Linked DNA regions of Arabidopsis thaliana. The protein of the gene in region 2 interacts with the protein of the main gene of each other region in a pairwise test. Each region holds a gene or a part of one and is shown on either strand. Other genes may lie near its edges.

Evidence for each region.
Region 1: the proteins of ARR6 (region 2) and HAT3 interact in a two-hybrid assay, tested with the Arabidopsis thaliana proteins (one large-scale study listed by BioGRID).
Region 3: the proteins of ARR6 (region 2) and GTE7 interact in a two-hybrid assay, tested with the Arabidopsis thaliana proteins (one large-scale study listed by BioGRID).
Region 4: the proteins of ARR6 (region 2) and AT1G70000 interact in a two-hybrid assay, tested with the Arabidopsis thaliana proteins (one large-scale study listed by BioGRID).

What each region holds. Positions count from the first base shown.
Region 1 is NC_003074.8:22,320,034-22,324,557, forward strand, and holds HAT3 (homeobox-leucine zipper protein 3), read right to left. Parts: upstream 2,629-4,524; 5' UTR 2,338-2,628; coding exon 2,139-2,337; intron 1,981-2,138; coding exon 1,622-1,980; intron 1,538-1,621; coding exon 1,458-1,537; intron 1,065-1,457; coding exon 755-1,064; 3' UTR 547-754; downstream 1-546. UniProt on the Arabidopsis thaliana protein: Probable transcription factor.
Region 2 is NC_003076.8:25,251,498-25,255,941, forward strand, and holds ARR6 (response regulator 6), read right to left. Parts: upstream 2,822-4,444; 5' UTR 2,662-2,821; coding exon 2,511-2,661; intron 2,428-2,510; coding exon 2,351-2,427; intron 2,272-2,350; coding exon 2,194-2,271; intron 2,106-2,193; coding exon 2,035-2,105; intron 1,432-2,034; coding exon 1,248-1,431; 3' UTR 519-1,247; downstream 1-518. Other genes in the region: AT5G62910 (RING/U-box superfamily protein), read left to right, coding at 1-518; AT5G62930 (SGNH hydrolase-type esterase superfamily protein), read left to right, coding at 3,337-3,591, 4,003-4,143, 4,235-4,311, 4,411-4,444. UniProt on the Arabidopsis thaliana protein: Functions as a response regulator involved in His-to-Asp phosphorelay signal transduction system. Phosphorylation of the Asp residue in the receiver domain activates the ability of the protein to promote the transcription of target genes.
Region 3 is NC_003076.8:26,225,310-26,231,119, forward strand, and holds GTE7 (global transcription factor group E7), read right to left. Parts: upstream 4,266-5,810; 5' UTR 2,949-4,265; coding exon 1,479-2,948; intron 1,386-1,478; coding exon 1,175-1,385; intron 1,094-1,174; coding exon 1,002-1,093; 3' UTR 523-1,001; downstream 1-522. Other genes in the region: AT5G65620 (Zincin-like metalloproteases family protein), read left to right, coding at 82-147, 227-298, 389-475.
Region 4 is NC_003070.9:26,362,439-26,366,846, reverse strand, and holds AT1G70000 (myb-like transcription factor family protein), read left to right. Parts: upstream 1-1,968; 5' UTR 1,969-2,211; coding exon 2,212-2,500; intron 2,501-2,592; coding exon 2,593-2,801; intron 2,802-2,885; coding exon 2,886-3,173; 3' UTR 3,174-3,868; downstream 3,869-4,408.

The DNA.
Region 1 (4,524 bases), on a different chromosome or scaffold from region 2:
CTATTTTTGCCTCTGCCAAAAATTGAAACACCGAGAGATATCTTGGTCGTACCTCTCATTTTCTCTTTCTCTGTCGGTTGAGATCTTTTGACATAAGGGAAGAAAAAAATATCGTATCTTCAGTGTTCTGCAAGAGATTCTAATGGTCTGACTTCGTCTATGTGGACCCAAATATCTCCATATACATACCAAATGCTATGTTATGTCACGTACATGTCTCGATATTCGTATTGGCTAACATTTACTTATTACATATGCAAACAACACACGCTTGCTCCATCAATCATAACACCTTTCATTGCTTCTTTTTACTTTATACTTCTAACTAATCTTCTACTGTAATTAATAATCATCTTTACAAATCCCTTTCTTAAGTTCCAAGCAAAAGAAAGAAAACCCCAATTAAACAATTACAACTTTAATAAATGACGCTCTTGAAAATTAGTTTATGCACCATTCGTTATTATGATTCGATGGCCTTAAAATAGAACTCTGGATTTGGTGAAAAACAGATATGATGTAATCAAAATATATAACAATAAAGAATGATAGAACCTCTTATCTTTCCCCAAACTAATAATTGGACAATAATATTAGTAGATTTTCCATTATCCAGAATTCAGCTATAAATAGAAACTGAATAAAACAAAGGAAAGAAGAGCATGGGACCAACTCTTGAAAAGAACTTCCAAGTCCGTTCAACAATATAATAAAAACAAATCACCAAACCTATTATCTTTAGACTAATTAAACTCTAATGAGAACCAGCAGCAGGTCGTTGCCGTAGAGGCATGGCAGCCCACGGACTCATCGGACCCATCGGAGACGATGAATTCATCACAGGAGGAGCCACCGATGACGAAGATGACGTAACAGCGACTCGCTCGCAAGAAGGACACATTGTGAGAGTAGTGGGAGGTTTCATGTGCATGTATAAGTGTGGAGAAAGCTTTAAAGCCCTAAGCTCACTCACTTCCTTTTGCAATCTCCGATTCTCATCCGTTAGATTCTCGCAACATCTCTTAAGATATTCACAGTCTACTTCCGTTTGCTTCAGCTTCGTCCTATAAACACACACACAAACAGTCCAAAACATTAAAATCCGATATCCGGTTTAACTATCCGGGAAAGAGAAAACCCGAAGTACATTTGTTTCTTGTATTCGAAACTGGCGGTTATTGTTCTTGAACCGGAAAACTGAAAACACTTTAACCAAAATTTGACTCAAAAACAACATTGGCGGTTTTAATTCTTAAACCGGGAAAACTGAATAGCTTAAACCAAACCTCCTAATTTAAGACATGAGAGACCCATTAAAATCCTTTAGGATAATCTTATGGGTCATAAAATGGACCATTACACATATCACCATCATAGCAATAACTACTAATGTTTTATTTGTTGGACTATATAAAATTTACGAAAGTAACCCCTTAAAATAGAATAAAAATTTCTACCTTGCCCTTCGGTTTTGGAACCACACTTCAACTTGTCTCGTCCTCAGATTCAATTGCTTAGCCAAAGCCATCTTTTGCTTCTGCATCCAACAACAACAAAAAAAGTCAATGAAAAACATATAAAAAGTCAACCTATTGAAGAAAACTACGGAAATGCCACTGACCGGATTGAGTGTACTATGTTCTTTAAAAGTTTCTTCAAGAACCAAAGCTTGTTCTTTAGACAATCGGAGTTTCTTCCTCGAACTGTCATCTCCGTTCCCGCTACCGTCTTCATCGTCGCTACCACCGCCGAGCGAGCAAGAAGCTCTCTCAATCTCATTATCTTCTACTCTACCTCCTCCAACTGCACCTGCCGCAGCCATTAGCTCTCGCTCGCTCTTCTTCCCGCTCATCACGCTTGAGACGGTGCTGTTCGGAGACGAAACTCCGGCGCCTTCATCCTCCACGTCAACCACCACCGTCGATGGAGCTCTGTTCACGTCTATTCCCCGGAGAAACGATCTCATGTCCGAGTTTCTCTCTGCACGTTACGTTAATCACGCCAAATGATTAAAAATCACAAACATATCAAGAAAATTTTATCTATTATAGGATAAAGTGTAATAAAAAGATCGGATCTAAAACAAAGAAACCTATAATCTTAGACATGAATCTGGATTAGTAAAAGGAGGTAAATACCTGATGACTGAAACATGTTAATCCAAGTGTTCTGAATCTTTTGAGGATGGTTATAATTGCTCTGCTGCATATGCTGCATGTGTGATGAAGATGCATAAGAAGCCAGAGGCATTGGATTTAACCTCGAAGACGGGTCCTTTTGATTAAAACCTAAACTCAAGCTCAAACTTAGCCCCAATCCATCATCTCTTTCACTCATTTTTCTCAACCCCAGAAAGAAGAAAGAAGAATTCTGTCTGGGTGCTCAAGATTTTTAAGCGAGGAAATGAATAAATGACTCTTTCTCTCTCTCTTTCTTAAAGATGTTGTGCCACTGCCTCTACACTTGTGCAGCAGTACAGTTTCAAAAGATATGGCTTATATTTATTTATATATGCAAAAGAGTTTTTTCAGACAAAGAGATATGGGGTTGTGGGGAGGCTTAGGGTTTCAATGATGACTTGTGTCAGAGAGACCTCTGTTACCTCAATGATGATATATACTGCATAAAAACCTGCTTCCTTCTCTCTTTATTTTAACTTAACCATGGTTAAAATTAAAACCAGGAGTTATTACTTTCACCTCACATCCCTTTTCAACCATGGTTAATTGATTTATTATAAGAAAAAAAAAAGTCCAAGTCTCTTGTTCTTTCTCTATCATTTTCCGTTTGGTATATTGTAAGTTGTCACTATTCTTAATTACAAAATAACCTATGAGCGTTTTTCAAATATTATATTAGATTCTTATACATATGATAAACTCATTCACCCAAATCCATTCATGTGAGGTTTTACTAAATATAGATAAAAGCTGAGTTTCTACTTTAAAAGATACTAAAGATTAGTAGTTGACAATATAATTGAGTAGAGATTTTGTGTACCCGAGTTTCAAAGTAAAGAAAATGTAAAAGAAGCTCTTTTTCAAAAACACACAAACAAGCATAATTGGCTTTTTGTAATGTGGCTTTCATTACGAAAGCGGCTTTCTCGCTCGTTGACCGTTGACTGATTGAGAGGATTAAAAAAGCAGCGACCAGACGGTAAAATCCACGCGCTCGTGAGGGTGATCAAATAATGATATCATATCATAATAATTAATAAATCATCATCATCATCAGTATCATTATGAACATCATCATCATATCATGCCTTATTGTTATCATCATAACTTTACTTCTCCCTCTGACCATTGGGGTCCTACGTATCTCAAAAATAATGCAGCTTCGCTTTAATATTAGTACTCTTAAAGCATAATTTGTAGTACTGTATATCAAACCATATAATTGTACTTCCCATTTTAACATGGAATTATATCCTTAAAACAAATCTCACCCACTCTCCAAATTCACCATCACTTGTTAACTTGTTGGTTAGAAAAGGTTCTTTAAGTTAGCTTTATGGTGAATATGTTTCATCATTGGCATTCGATTATGACAACTATTTTTTTTTTTTTGAGAAAAGATCAGCTAAATTATGTTTTTCTTAGTAGTTTTAAACCATTCTATAACCTTTATTGGGTAAAATTATATAACCTAGTTACAAACCAAACTTTCTTAAAGAATGAAATGAATTATTATTCTTCAATGGGTTATTGTTAAAATGTGATTATGAGGATGTTGGAATAATAGGTAAGCGTGAAAGAATAGATACGCGCGAATGGGCGAGTGTGAGGTGGGGGGAGAATAAGGCGGTGGGCTCAAAATGGGTATGGAATCAGGAGGGGGCAGAGATACGGTGTCGTATAGATAGGTTACAGAGAACCTAAAAGCCCTAAACACTGCATGGATTTTGAGTTGTCTGCGAATCCAACATGCATTCCCATTCCATGCCTCCCTCCTTCATTTATTGTTCCTTTTTCCCAATGTGATACCAAAAGATAATTAACTTTCTCATTAATTTCATCTGTCAGTCAAACATAAATAAAAACGCACGACAAGTGGTGTTGGCTGATTTTTATGACTAATAAGAGAGTAATTAAATTACTATTTAATTAATGATGACTCCATATATGTTATTGATATTGCCATCATTACTTCTGCCTTCAGTCTCTTCAAAACTTTCAGCAGTTACACAGACAAGACAGGTCAGCTCTATTTATTTAATTTCCTGCTCGTGTTTAATTTATATGTTTGATTTTACATTTACACAGGAAACAATCTAAACATAACCCTTCTTCTCATTTATTTTCTCCATTAATAACACTGTTACTTAGATTTTTAGAAAACACCAAAAAAAAAAGCATTTGTGAAAATAGAAAGACAAAATATATTTGATCAAGTTTTCCTTTTATTATTAACACACTTATTCAACGCAAAAAAAAAAAAAACATAGCCAAAGTTTATTTGTTTTACCTCTTTGTTATACGAGAGACTTTCAAGCTCTGAAGTCTATGGAAATTCAAGTTT
Region 2 (4,444 bases):
AAGAGATTGAGAAAAAGAGTCGTCCTCTTGAGTCTGTGAAAGAGCAAGTGAGTGTTGGACAATCAGCTTCTAATGTGTGTGATTCGTCGATTAGTGATGCATCAGATGTTGTGGGTGTTGAAGATCCAAAGCAGGAATGCTTGAGAGTGTCATCAAGGAAGCAGACTAGTAATAGAGCTTGGAGGCTAGATGATGACCTTCGCCCACAGGGGTTACCTAATTTGGCGAAGCAGCTTAGTTTTCCGGAGTTAGACAAGCGTTTTAGCTCTGTGGCGATTCCGTCTTCATGTCCCATATGCTACGAAGACTTGGACTTGACGGATTCGAATTTCCTCCCCTGTCCTTGTGGATTTCGGCTCTGTCTGTTCTGCCACAAGACCATTTGCGATGGAGATGGGCGTTGTCCAGGCTGCAGGAAACCCTATGAACGGAATATGGTCAAGGCTGAGACTAGTATTCAAGGTGGTGGTCTAACAATTCGGTTGGCTCGTTCGTCTAGCATGTTTTGCAAGTTTTAAAAGGAGAGGTGCGGTTTTCTCAACCATGTTGTCTTTTGGAACTCGAGAACTTAAGCTCTGTTTTCTATGTCATCTATGGTTCTAAGTCTGAAACACTGTGGTGATGATGTAGAATGTGATGTGTGAATACATAAAAGGTGGTACAGAAAATGATTCAAATACATTTAGATAGTTTCAATAATGAATGCTATGTTCTCTTTTCTAATTCCATATGTTTGGTCTGCATTTATTCCTTGTCAAACATTATTGAAGGTTTAAGAGTTATTTTGTTGCTATGGTGAATCCTCTTGACAAGTTACTCATGAACCAAAGCTTGTTTTTTAGAATCACCATTCACCAGAGATCAACTCTCATTACTTCAAATTCTTTTAGGAAACTTCTGATTGTTTATGATTAGCTAACAAAATCATTTATTCACATAAAGTGAGGCTTCTTAACAACTTCTATTAAGCCAGCTTACAAATCTCTTGTAAGGAAAAAAGCTATGACCCCTCTAATGAATATAATATATAATATAGCTTTTGCTCATCTCTATACCATTTACATTACTACTATATGAATAAACCCACTGAATTCAATCAGCGAAAAAGGCCATAGGGGTTGGAAAATTGTATAGGTCATTAAGCTGGCGAGAATCATCAGTGTAGGCTCAAGTGCATTGAGTCTTGAAGCTTCTGTATATGAAAAGGCTTTTTCTAAGATCCAGTCACGGAATTTGCATCGGAGAGCTCAGATCTTTGCGCGTTTGAGCTGCGAGTGAACAGGGTAGACATTCTCTGTTTCTAGCTCTCTCTTCTGAATACTCTTTGTGAAAGACAAATCTTCAACCTTCATTAGAGAATCTCTTAATCTTTTTACATCCGAGAGTTTTACCGGCTTCAGTAAGAAATCTTCAGCCCCTTCTTCAAGACATCTGAATGACAAAATAATAATCACAAGAAAATCAGTTTGAGTAAACTCCAATTTCAATAAAGTTGATGATAGCTTTGGATCAATAAGTTTTTTTTTTGTTGTATATGTAGCAAACAATCATAAAATGGCCAGTTCGTAATTGAGTTGGCCATTGTGTGTAACACAAATACATATTCCTTTTTATTTTATTTGGTCTAGAGGTTTCCTAATATTGTATGCAAAGTGAAAAAGCATGTGAGGTGGCTTTCACAATACCCTACCAAATATTAGGCAAGCAAGATCATGTACTTATTTTATTGTAATATCACATCACCAGAAATAGAATCAAATCCCAAAGTAAAGATTTTGCTGGTTAGAAACATCTTTATACACAAAATCATCTTGGGACCCATTAAAGATCACCAAATCTCAACATTTGTTTAATTATGCAATATCCACCACCAAAAATGGTTTAAGGAAATTAACTTTTAACCATATGAGCAGGAACTTTACTTTGTGATCTAATCCCTTTTTGTTTTATCTAATTCTTTTTTTGATCATCTAAGACAAAGATATTCACCAAATTTACTATAGTTTGACTTAAGATTATGATGAAGTTTTATACCTATCAATACGAGGCAAAATGTTCTCGGAGGACATAATTACCACCGGTACTTCTCTAAAAGCTGAGGATTCCTGTGGAAAATCACGTAAAAAAGGATTAGATAAACATAAAACTCAAATTCCATTGACTAATTATATCATTATATGTTTGTTTGCTTACTTTGATCTTCTTCAAGAGTTCATATCCAGTCATACCGGGCATTGAGTAATCAGTCATAATTAAATTAACCTTCAAATCCTGAAGCACAAATCACGATTTAACATATTGCTTGAGAGCTACGGCAAAATTTTGTTTTCTCTTGGAAATTGTTTTATACCTCAAAACCGACTGATTTTTCCTCAACATCCAAACCAAGGTATTGGAGAGCTCTTGTTGCACTATCAACAACAGTAACTGAACAACCAAAACAGAGCTTTTTACTCAGATAACTTGCCCGAATTCAGAGACTGATTTTTCAAAATATGAGTAATAATTACCTTTGCAAGAAGATACTCTGAGCAAACGCTCGATGAATTTACGATCAACGTGACTGTCGTCGACGGCAAGAACATGAAGAGGATCCGGTGATCCAAACTTTGAAGAATGGTTGAGAATCTCCATCTTCCTCGGTAGCATAACTTCAGCCATTGATCAACGAATGTTGGAGGATTTGGAAGAAAAAGGAAGAGAAAGATATGATGTGAAACCATGGTGGCAGTGGTTGGGCCATTTATATAAGTAGAAAGAAAGAAAGAAAGAAATAAAAGAGGGAAAAAATATGAATGAAATCGAGAGATTTTGCATATCTTTAAGATTTTGTCAATTTGCTTTCAAAATCTTTATTTTATATTTTATATAAATAATAGTTCGGTGGATTTTTATTATTAAATAAGTTAAAACAAAAAACCGAAATAAAGTCAAACCAATCGGTTCAAGTTTAGTCAAAACGAAGAACAAACCAGAAAATTTGGAATGGGATGCAAGATTTAACCGACCCAAACCGATATTCAATAACTTGTAGAATTCTTTTTTTATTTTTAAATTATTTGTGTGTGTTTGTAGTTTTTTTTGGTAAAAGTGTGTTTGTAGTTGAATTGTGGAAGTTCACGCATTTAACTTCTACACTTCAATACTTCATCTACGTAGAAGTTCACTTTGAGGTTTTGACTTAAGCTCAAGACAGAAAAATGTGAAATCAAGAAATCATAAACTAATACTAAAACATTACACGCATCCTTAATCTACAATTAGTAAAACCTCTTTAGATTACCACCTTTTCATTCACCAAAAATATAACAAATTAATACTAAAGGCCCGGCCCATATGATTTGGCCCAGAAGAGACTTTAAGTTTCCTAATACAGTTAACGGTTTACTCAGTGAACCGGAGGGAGACAGCGAGATGAGGCCGGAGATAGTTCTGTTCGGCGACTCGATCACGGCGCAGTCTTTTAGGTCCGGCGGTTGGGGATCTGCTCTTGCCGACGCTTACTCTCGCAAGGCTGATGTTGTGGTTCGAGGCTACGGCGGCTACAACACCCGATGGGCTCTCTTCTTGCTTCATCACATCTTCCCTCTCGTCAGTACTTTTTATCTCTCTCTCCCTCCCTCGAGTCTACAAATGTTGATTTGAAATTTGATCTAAACACGAACGAATTTTGGTAGTCATTGGGATGATTTTGTTCATGAGCTGTTGTGATTGTGTGTATGATCTGTGTGGATATAGATCTTGAGTTATTGTCTCTTGTGCATCATTTTTTGTTTTGCTTATGCTTGTTATGGTTCAGTTCTGAATGGTTTTGATATGATTCTAGGATGTGTTGGTTTTATGACATTGTCATGGATTGGTTGAAGTACGAAAGATTTAGATTTGAATTTTGAGATGGTAAAAGGCAATTACATCTGCATATATCATGAGAACTCTTCTTGTAGTGCGTGTTGTTTTGGTGTGCCTATCTCAGTATGTGTTCTACTCTGTCTTTTTGCCTAGGGCTCTTCGTCTCCTCCTGTTGCTACGACGATATTCTTCGGTGCAAACGATGCAGCTCTCAAAGGAAGAACCAGTGATAGACAACATGTGCCGGTGGAAGAGTACACAGATAATGTCAGAAAGATTGTTCAGCATTTGAAGGTTTTGATATGCTTCTTTGATCCACTCTAATGCATGGACTTACTTTTCTTGAAGTGTGATTCCTTTAAAGACTAATGACTCTGTTTTGTAGAAATGTTCACCTACAATGCTAATTGTGCTTATAACTCCACCACCAATTGATGAAGCTGGACGTCAAAGTTATGCAGAGTAGGCTTTATTATGATCCTTTTCTTCTTTGCATTTTTGTTTCTCAAAGCATTTAGTCCGACATGTTTCTTAAATGAGCCAGTGATTGTGTTACATCAGATCAATCTACGGTGAGAAAGCTATGAAAGAGCCT
Region 3 (5,810 bases), 970 kb from region 2:
TTGAAAATCTCTTTATACTATAACCGACTCTGTAAATTCTCACTCAAATATCTAAAAAAACTGGATGTGAAAAACTTGCAGTGGGCAGAAGTTTTGTCTGCTGATGCATTTTCAGCATTTGAAGACGCTGGACTAGACGACATCAAGGTATCAGTATATCCTAAAACATCTGTTATAGACACAAATAGTTGAGATACAAGATTACGAAATTTTTTGTTGCAAACAGGCTGTTAAAGAAACAGGACAGAGATTCAGAAACACCATACTTGCACTTGGAGGAGGGAAAGCGCCTCTTAAGGTATTACTAACTACTACTATATTGTGTTTTCATACAATAGTTTCAATATTTGTTGCATTTCATTCTCAATTGATTCCAAATTATGATCAGGTGTTTGTTGAGTTTAGAGGACGAGAACCTTCACCCGAGCCTCTTCTCAGACACAATGGACTCTTGGCTGCCTCTGCTTCTGCTTAACTCTTATATAATCCTCACAACATTTGGAAACTTTGAAAGACATTTATAAGATGGAAAATCAACTTTTCTTTTTTAATATGCCAACCATTTACATCTAATACATTGCATTGATTTCTTTCTTCTCTTCTATCACCATTTTTCCTACCACAACCAGACTCTTTAACACTACTAACAAAGAAAAATAAATAAAGTCATAGAACCTAAAAAGACTCTTTTCTTCTTCTTCTTCTCCTACAGTACCTACCCACTCACTCTCACCCTCTGTTCAGCATCTCACAAATACACTAAACAACTCCTAAATCTAAAAGGTATTAAATAACGAACTCTTCTTCTTGCTTAAACTAGCACTCTCTTTCTATCTACCTATTACATTTTTCTTTCTAACTACATCTGCTTCCTAAGTTTATCATCGAAAGAAAAAACAAATCCTTTCCTTCAGTTTTCCCCTTCATTCCTCCCTTTACACCCTCAGCTAAACGTTCCTAGTACTTCAGGACAGAATCAACGGTTAAATTCCCAAATGATTTTAACATTGGGCTTCTTTTGCTTCCACAAATGGCGATTGAACACTATCTGCATCAGAATCACTACCTGATGAACTCCCACCTGACCCTGAATCTGCAGATCATTACAATGTTAGAGTCGACACAAGAATAGGGGAAACCTCTAGCAAGAGGAAAAGGGTTTATGAAAACATACCACTAGACGAGGAACTACCACCACTAGAACTGGAACTGCCTGAAGAACTAGAACCACTACTAGCAGCAGCTGCAACTGCAGTACCATCTCTTTCGATCTCTACAGATGGATAATCTTCGATTGGTATGTCCTCTCCAATGTCAACATCCTCTTCCCCTGCATCTCCTCTCCTTGTTCTCTTCTCCGCACTACCCATTTCTGCTACCGAAGCCTAAGAGACACAGACGAAGAAAACAATTTTGAGTATTGAAACCACAGTGATCAAATGGTGGTTTTGATAGGAAGGCAGTGCAAATTTGCTTACCATGTTCCTAGGTGGAGTTGACACGTTCCTGATAAACCCTTGGCGCTTGATTTTGCTAGCCATCTTCTTGTAGTTCGTCACAAAACGATCAAGCTCCCATAGAGTCTCATTGTCGACAGCTTCTATATCCAGCTCAATTTCGTCCCCATCTTGAGCTAAATGTCCGTTTCTCTTCCTGAGAATCTGAAGCAACTGACCAAGCTTCTCAGGAGGCAAGTCTTGTAGATTCATACCAAGCTTTGACTTCTCTTCCATCGTCATCAACCTCTTATTTGGATCCTTAGCCTTAGGCTTCGGCAACTTCCCCTTCCTTCCTTTTGACACTTCACTCACATCAGGAGGTGCTTCTACTTCAATTTCAAGCTGTGGAGGTGGTGGTTGAGGCTGCGGAAGTTCAGGCTGTATCACCGGAGGAGGGGGAGGAGGAGAAGGAGATTGAACGCGTGACGGCTCGACTAATTGAGGAGGCAATGTAGGTTGTGGCGGCTTCACTGAATCAAGCTTCTTCGCAATAGATATTTGTTCGGTTCCTTTCCTAGGATTCGCCACCATTGGCGGATTCTGATTCCACTGTCTTTGCTTGAAGTCAGGTTTGAAGTCAGGTTCAGGACGAGATGAAGAACCAGTGAGTTTAAGCTGCTGAGCCTCAAACTTCTTAAAAGCAGGATTGAACATTCCATCGAAATGATCCAAAAGCTTATCAGCCATAAAATACACATCTTGTCCCTTTGGATTATACGTCATTGCATTGTCGAATGTCAATCTGACATCAGTAGCAAAATCAATCGGCGAAACGTAGAATCCTTTATCAAGATTCAATTTCACTGTACCCAGATCCATAGGTTTCTTCACAACCTGATGATAATCATGAAGCCCTAAACCAACCACATCAACAGGAGTGTTGAACACCCACGCCCATTTATGCTTCATTAGCTTCACCAAGATCTGACTACAGGTATTCAACATACCGGCCAATAATTTCTCCGACTCCGGATCCGACGGACCAAATTGATTGCTTCGCTTGAGACCTGACACATTTTTCTTCTGTTTCTTCTTCTTCGGTCCAAGGTCATTCTTTTCACCGGTGAAGTTATTCAACGGAGCTGATCGAACGGCGGGTACCTCTGGGATAGTATAACCTTGCTGAGTCTCGAACGTCCCTGACTCGATCCGTTCTCTCAGGATCCGAATCTGCTTGAGCTCTGAGGTAAAGCGCTTCTTAAGCTCCCTGAGCTGACTTGAGGTGTACCCAGCGAGATTAAAAGTAGCATAGCTTCCAAATTCCGACGAGTCATCGCACTGCTTGCTCGAATTGCTCCTTTCGAAATTAGGGTTAGGGTTAGGGTTGAAGAGCGGAAGGTTATTGGTGTTTTCGGTGACGGATTGGTTTGTAAATTTCCTCATAAAAACGGCGCCGCATTGTTCCTGGTACGACGGTTCGTTTAAGGTAGCGAAAACAGCCGGAGCCATACGAATCGCAAGGTCATTTCTGGGGTTTTCACTCTTCTCGAGCTTTTAGAAGAAAAAAAAATTCACCTCCCAAAAAAGGCGCGGGAAAATTACATCACCGGCGAAAATTCCGGCGATCGGGGAACTGAAAAATTTTAGAGCTTCAGAAAAAGGGATGAAAAGAGGGTTTTTTGGGAGATGGTCGATGATGATGAGGAAGAAGATGGGAGGCATCATCTCTTCTTAAAGGCCATTGGAATCTGACCGACATAACGCTTAGTTTAAATCTAACCGTTAAATTTAGATCTTACGGTTCAGATCTGTTGGGTGACGCTGACCGATCTAGCTGCCCCGGAAATCTGCCACGGATGGCTCAGATCTTCGTAGTTATCCACGTGGAGTTATTTTAGCCGTTTGTTCGTGAGGCGTCGTGTGTATGTGTTATTTTTGTATTTTTTTAATAATTCCTACGAACTTTACAAAAATTGATGTGGATTTTTAAAATGATTTTCCTTTTTTTGTGAGAGAGGCAAACTAGTCATTTCTATGTCTGAATGGGTCCCACACTGACTTTTCATTATTTTTTGTTTTCTTTCGTTTCTTTATTTTCGGATTCGACTCTCTCATTGGTCGCTTTTTATTTTGCCAGGTCAGCGGTTGCCACGTGGAGACAGCTAGGATCTCGGTTTCATGAATGCTCCTCGTAACTTTTGAATCTTGCCCTTAAACTGGATTACTCCTAGCTAATTAAAGACTAAATCATAACTAATTAATTTGCTATGAAATAAGTATAAATTGCAATGAGTTGACAATTAAATATTCCGACCACAAACAAAACCCAAAAGAAAAAAAAACTCATTTCTCATCGCCGGGCGGTCACCGACTAGACGGCGGACGAATTTAGGGCAACACCAGTTAGTCGGAATGACGAAAATACCCTTCTTGTTTATGAACCCAACCAAACCCCCAAATGGGCTTTTTCACTTTCAGATCTCTGGGCTAGAGAACTGCTAAAATATTGATTTCTCATTTTTTTCTCAAAAAAAAACGAATTTTGTTATTTTCGAAAGGAAAAAAAAATTGAGAGCGGTTATTACCAGAAAAAGCATGGTATTGTGTGGAGCAGAACTTACATCATAAACTAATCAGAAACTTTTAATAAATAAATCTAGTTAAACTGGAAAAAAAGTGAATGAATTAAACAAAATCTAAGTAAACTGAATAATTTCTCAGAAACAAAGAAGAAGACTAACAAAAGTAACAACAAAAGAGAAGATAGAGAGGAGAAGAAAAGAAAGAGAAAGACAACTCAAGGCAAAAGAGTGATCCAAACACACAATTATTGAATCAATGAGGGCCATTTTTCATATATATATTTTTCCAGCAAAAATTGGGTCTAATCTGGACCGTTGAATTTTAAAAATATTTTCTCAAAAGCCCATATGATTATTAGTCGTGGGCCAAATTCTTCTAACCAACCTATATTAATTAAAAAGGATTTAAAACATTTTTTCTTGTAATTGATATTTATTTCCATTTCCTATAAAAAAATTATCACTTAAAATATAATATTGATTACAATTATAATAAATAAATTAAACTTACGTATAATTCACCCCCAAAAAAAAAAAGACTCTTTGTGAAAAAGGGCAATCCGTAATAAGTACTGGAGAAGCTGAGAAATGAGAATGTTAAGAAGGGTAGCGTCTAAGCCCAACAACCAAAGTAGGGACCAGACAGCTAAGCAAACCCACTATCAGATATTTTCTCTATGCACCACGCGCTTTTTATTAAGAGCCGTGCGCTCACACTTCTTCATCTACTTACATAAATTTTGTCGCAAATCGGAATTTTCTTCACATTACAAGACAACAAACTACTACTATGCTGCACAATTATAGTTTCCTTCATAAAGAACAAACATTATCATTTTTGCTAAACCTTCCAAATTGTTTCATCACGAAATTAAACGGTAATTTTCATGGAAATGTAAGTGAAAGAATCAGAGAAGAGAAATAGTGTAAATCGGATTTTGATCTCTTAGAAACTGAATTTCTTTCATTAATCAATAGGGAGGAAGAAGAATGAAATATGTTAAGACTAAATATTGGATAAGATACTTTTTCAATAACCGGTTAAATTGAATCACGGACCGGTTGGTTCGCTATGCTAGTTGGACTGGACTTCAGAATCCAGATATAAACGGCCCGCTAATAATGGGTTTTGTTATAGCCCAATATGTTTGTTCAAAACTCTCAGAGGCCCAGGATTACGGAAACAAATAGCTCCTCTCTAGCACTGAGTATGTGTCTTTGAAAATAAAAGAAAATCGATAATTAGCCTACACGAGCGAAATGATAACACTAATCATTATATAGGATGCTATCTAGAAATTTGACTTAGGAAAAAAAAGAAAAAATTTGCAAGCTGGCATTAGAGATGAAAACAAATTAGAAGACACGAATATAAATGTTACTATGAAAATCCAGGGTAAAATGAATAGTTTTGAACATGTGAATGTGAGATAAGATGTGACTTTGATTATGATTCGTACAAATCTGTGTAAAAACAAAACAAATATAATACCAGAAGTAGACATAATTAACTGAATCTGGCTCCTGTTCTCTCATAAAGCTCCCTTCTTATGTTGTAATAATTGAATGTCCCCACTCTTTTTTTTTCTTTCTATTCGTCCCATTTGTTTTTATTTCAAAAGTCGTTCTAATTGTTTCGAAGGAAATGTATAATATGAATCGTGTCGAATTTGATATTTGGATGTCTCATAAAATAACAGAAAAAATTCATAACTTTTTGACTAATGTGATATTTCTAATAGTGGTTTAGTGGATTGAATAGACCTGAGGATGGCCCTGTGCTCCACCT
Region 4 (4,408 bases), on a different chromosome or scaffold from region 2:
ACGGGACTGAGATCGAGATATTTTGCTCTGATACCATATTAGTAAAACAATCTCATTCTCATTAATTAGCAAAAGAGTACAATTGGGGGTTTATATACAAACTGACATTGGCCTAAACCATAAGCCTCTAAACCAAAATTAAGATTGGTTTATAAAATACCAACCTTTACAGACTCTATATGAAATCTATACTAACCAAACTAAGTTTATATACAACAATCTAAGTTATATACATTAATAAATACAAACCTTCACCTAAGAAAATATCTTTAACCCGACATAAATTTGTTACTACGGACATGTTTTTGTTTAATTGGAGAAAGATATATGATTGTGTATGGTGTCTATTGATTGATTGTCACAGAAGTATAGGCATTTTCTGTTATTGGCAAACTAAGAAAGAAAAGACATTTTCCACTAGTTATGTAATGCATCTTCGAAATACCCAACGGACCAAACCTGCTCATCCTTTCCGTTTTTGATATTATATAACAATATTTTATATCTTTTAATCGCTAAAAACGAATATTATATAAATGTATTGGATGTCCAAAAAAAAAAATGTGAATGGAGGCTTTCATATGCTATATCACTATCAACCAATCACAGAACATCTTTGACAGAAGGTTACCTATGCACGTACACTACACATACGATGCTCTTTGTTTATATCTTTGCTTATAGTTTATCGATGCTAACCACTGTAAGAATTAAGTAAAGTTAATGCCAATTTAACATTAAGTTAAAATTACTGTAAAAAGTAAATTAGATAGGCTGCCTTTTAAAAAAATTGTTGAATTATAACCATATTTGCTTTTCAAACATGCATGTCCCAAGTAACAGAACAAACAAAAAAAAGAAGAAGTTTGGCGTAATGCTCCTATACCATGGGTTAGTGCTCTCAAGCGGGTCATGTGTACACCAACAATATCAATTTTTGGGTGTTTGCTTTTAACTGAAAAAGTAAACGCATCGAATCTTTATTATGATTTCGATGAATAATGATAAAATTTGGGACAATTTCAATTCAAGTGAGGAAAACGTGTCTGTGCCTTCTTGGTAAATCTAACACTGAAATTTGACACGCAGTTGCTTCTATAGTCAGTAATTCCAATAAAGCATCTAAAATTGCATTTGAATATTTAATCATAGTCGTCCCTATCAATAATTGTCACCAACAAAGATAAAGGGTAAATAAGAAACATATAATGAAAATTGAATGGTCGTAGTTTTATATGTTAGTTGGAACCAAAGATTCTTCAATCTATCATCCACTCAGAGCTACGTGGACAGTCGATATTTTGGGTTATATAAAAAAAAACAAAATTGTACTATAAGACAAAAGAAAACAGTATTAAAAAAAAAAAAATCAATAACAAGATTATATCTTATCCCAATGAACAAAATGAAAATTTAGTTATTTTGAATAATGTTACAGGTTTTAATTAAATTATACTATATCACAAACAGCAAGAGTCAGATACATCGAACGGTCCAGCTTTCCTCCTTTATTTTTTTCTGGCTATCGTTTTGATGCAAAGTTGTTTCGTTAATCGTGAAAATTAAAAAGCTACAGCAATCTTCTCCGAAACTTCATACACTCGCCGACAAGAGAAACTTCATCCACTCGGATTTCTCGTAACTTGCAGCACTAAACATTTCATGAAACTATTCACAAAAGTCCACGAACCTTGCAATTGGCCACAAAATTTAAAATACTTATATACGTAACGACAACCTATCCATATTTTTCTTTCTAACGATCCAAAACTGGCCACGCTTCGACTCCATGGTGATATTAACTAGGGAAGTGGCTAATGGCAAACAAGTGCTTAGAAGTGGTAAATTCAAATAATAACCGTCGATTATTTCTTTCTAACCGTTATTGAGGTTACCAATTAAAAAAAGTGATCACAAACTAGGTCAATGAAAAGGGAGATTTTTTGTTTTCTTTGGGCCAATGAAAATAGAAACTAAGATGGACAAAAGAAAATATTATAATTGGACAAAACAGAGTCATTTGAGATTTAAAACAGAGAAGTAATAAAGGTCAAATGTTTTTGTGGTGAGCTCTCAAAAACAGACATAAAAAAAAGAAGCAGAATCATTCCCATTTATAACAAACCTAAACCTCTCTTTTCTTCTTCTCTTTACCTTTTTCATTCCAAAATCTCTCTCTCTCTCTCTCTCTTTCTCTGGCTCGGGAAGAAGATGTCACGTAGTTGCTCACAGTGTGGAAACAACGGCCACAACTCTCGCACATGTCCGACGGACATAACTACCACCGGTGACAACAACGACAAAGGCGGCGGGGAGAAAGCCATCATGCTTTTTGGCGTCCGCGTCACGGAAGCTTCATCATCTTGTTTTAGAAAAAGTGTTAGTATGAACAATCTCTCTCAATTCGATCAAACTCCTGATCCCAACCCAACCGATGACGGTGGTTACGCTTCAGACGACGTCGTTCACGCCTCCGGTAGAAACCGTGAACGCAAACGAGGTTAATAAAATAACCTTTCTTCTCTCTTTCCCAAATCTCATCTCTGTTTTTGTTTCTTGTTTTTGAAACTTTCTTGCAAATTTGGAATTTAGGAACTCCATGGACAGAGGAAGAACATAGATTGTTTCTTACTGGATTGCATAAAGTTGGAAAAGGTGATTGGAGAGGAATCTCTAGAAACTTTGTTAAAACTCGAACACCTACTCAGGTAGCGAGTCATGCTCAGAAATATTTTCTCCGGCGGACTAATCAGAATCGTCGTCGTCGTAGATCAAGCCTCTTCGATATCACTCCCGATTCGGTAACGTTTCATTCTTTAAAATCTATAATTAAAATCAAGAATCTGTAAGATTATACTAACACATAAGGTTCGATATGTCAACAGTTTATAGGATCATCAAAAGAAGAGAATCAGTTACAGACTCCATTGGAGCTAATCCGTCCAGTTCCGATTCCTATTCCGATTCCACCGTCGCGGAAGATGGCTGATTTGAATCTTAACAAGAAAAAAACTCCAGCGACAACGGAGATGTTTCCGCTGTCGCTGAATTTGCAGAGGCCGTCTTCGTCGACATCGTCATCGTCCAATGAACAGAAGGCACGTGGCTCACGTGCCTCCTCGGGGTTCGAGGCGATGTCGAGTAATGGAGATAGTATAATGGGAGTGGCTTGATGAAGAAGATAATGTTTTAATTAATTTATATTGTATAAGATAAGATCTGGATGATGATTAATTTGAAATTTGAGAATTAGGCTAATTAGATACTTTGATCAGAATCAAGTGAGTTTTTAAGTTTGAATTAGTGTGTACATGTTTTTTTGCTCTTTTTGGGGGAAACGACTTGTCGTTTTTGTTGTTGTATGATGTAAAACAACAGGTAGTCTCTGTGTTGTTTTGGTCAAGACTTGATCAGATTCAGAAGTGAAGACGACTTCAAGCTTAAGATAGTTTAGATGTGTCTTTTGAAAAGTTTAAACAGAATGGTTATTGGGTTAAGGTTAAGTGTATCTCATATGCTTTTTCTATCTTTTTTTTTGGTAAGACTTTTCCAGTAATTTGCCGTTTTCTTCGGGGTGTGTGTTGTTGATAATGTCACATTCATGAACCAAACACAGTTATATTACTTTAGTAACAGTTTTTTTTTGTTTTTTTGTTTGTCGTTTGACGTCATTTTGTTTTATTTATGTTATTACATACATGGATATAATTTATGAAACTGCCAAGAAAACAAAGAATATAATTTGTTGAATTGTTATTGGCCTACCAACTATATCAGCAAGATTCGAATCTATACTTTGTTAAAATGTCTCAATGTAGGACTGGACTGGAGATAAATATAAAGTAATATATAGGGTAAAGTTTCTAAGTCTTGTATAGCATGATTTTTATTAGGGAATAGAATTCTAATTTCATGATGTAATTCAAACAACTGAAATGGAAAATTGTTTAAAACTAGCTAAACTTGTACAGTTGTACTATTTAGAGCCCAAAGTGATAACTGTTTTATGGCTTTTATCCATGCAAAAGAAAAACATCAAAATAAAGTGATGTCCATCACATACATCTTAAATAAAGTAATAATGGGCCTAGCTAAGGTATAGCCCATGGGCTTATTCGCTGATCTAACCAAAGTGTCGCTAATTTTCTTCCTTGTTTTTTTAACGCAAATTTTCTTCCATGTCAATTATGTCTTTTTAATCAAAAATTCCTCCACACCAAAAAAGAACGTAAAAACTAAAAATAGAACAAATTCAACTACACTCAGATAATCGAATTGCTATGTCCAATATCCAAAACATTTCAAGCCATTTAGTGCTCTCACTAAACATATTTTAACAAAATATGAAATAACATTCCCAAAATTGCGATCAAAAGGCTAGAAACATCTTCAACAATTATGACAGTCC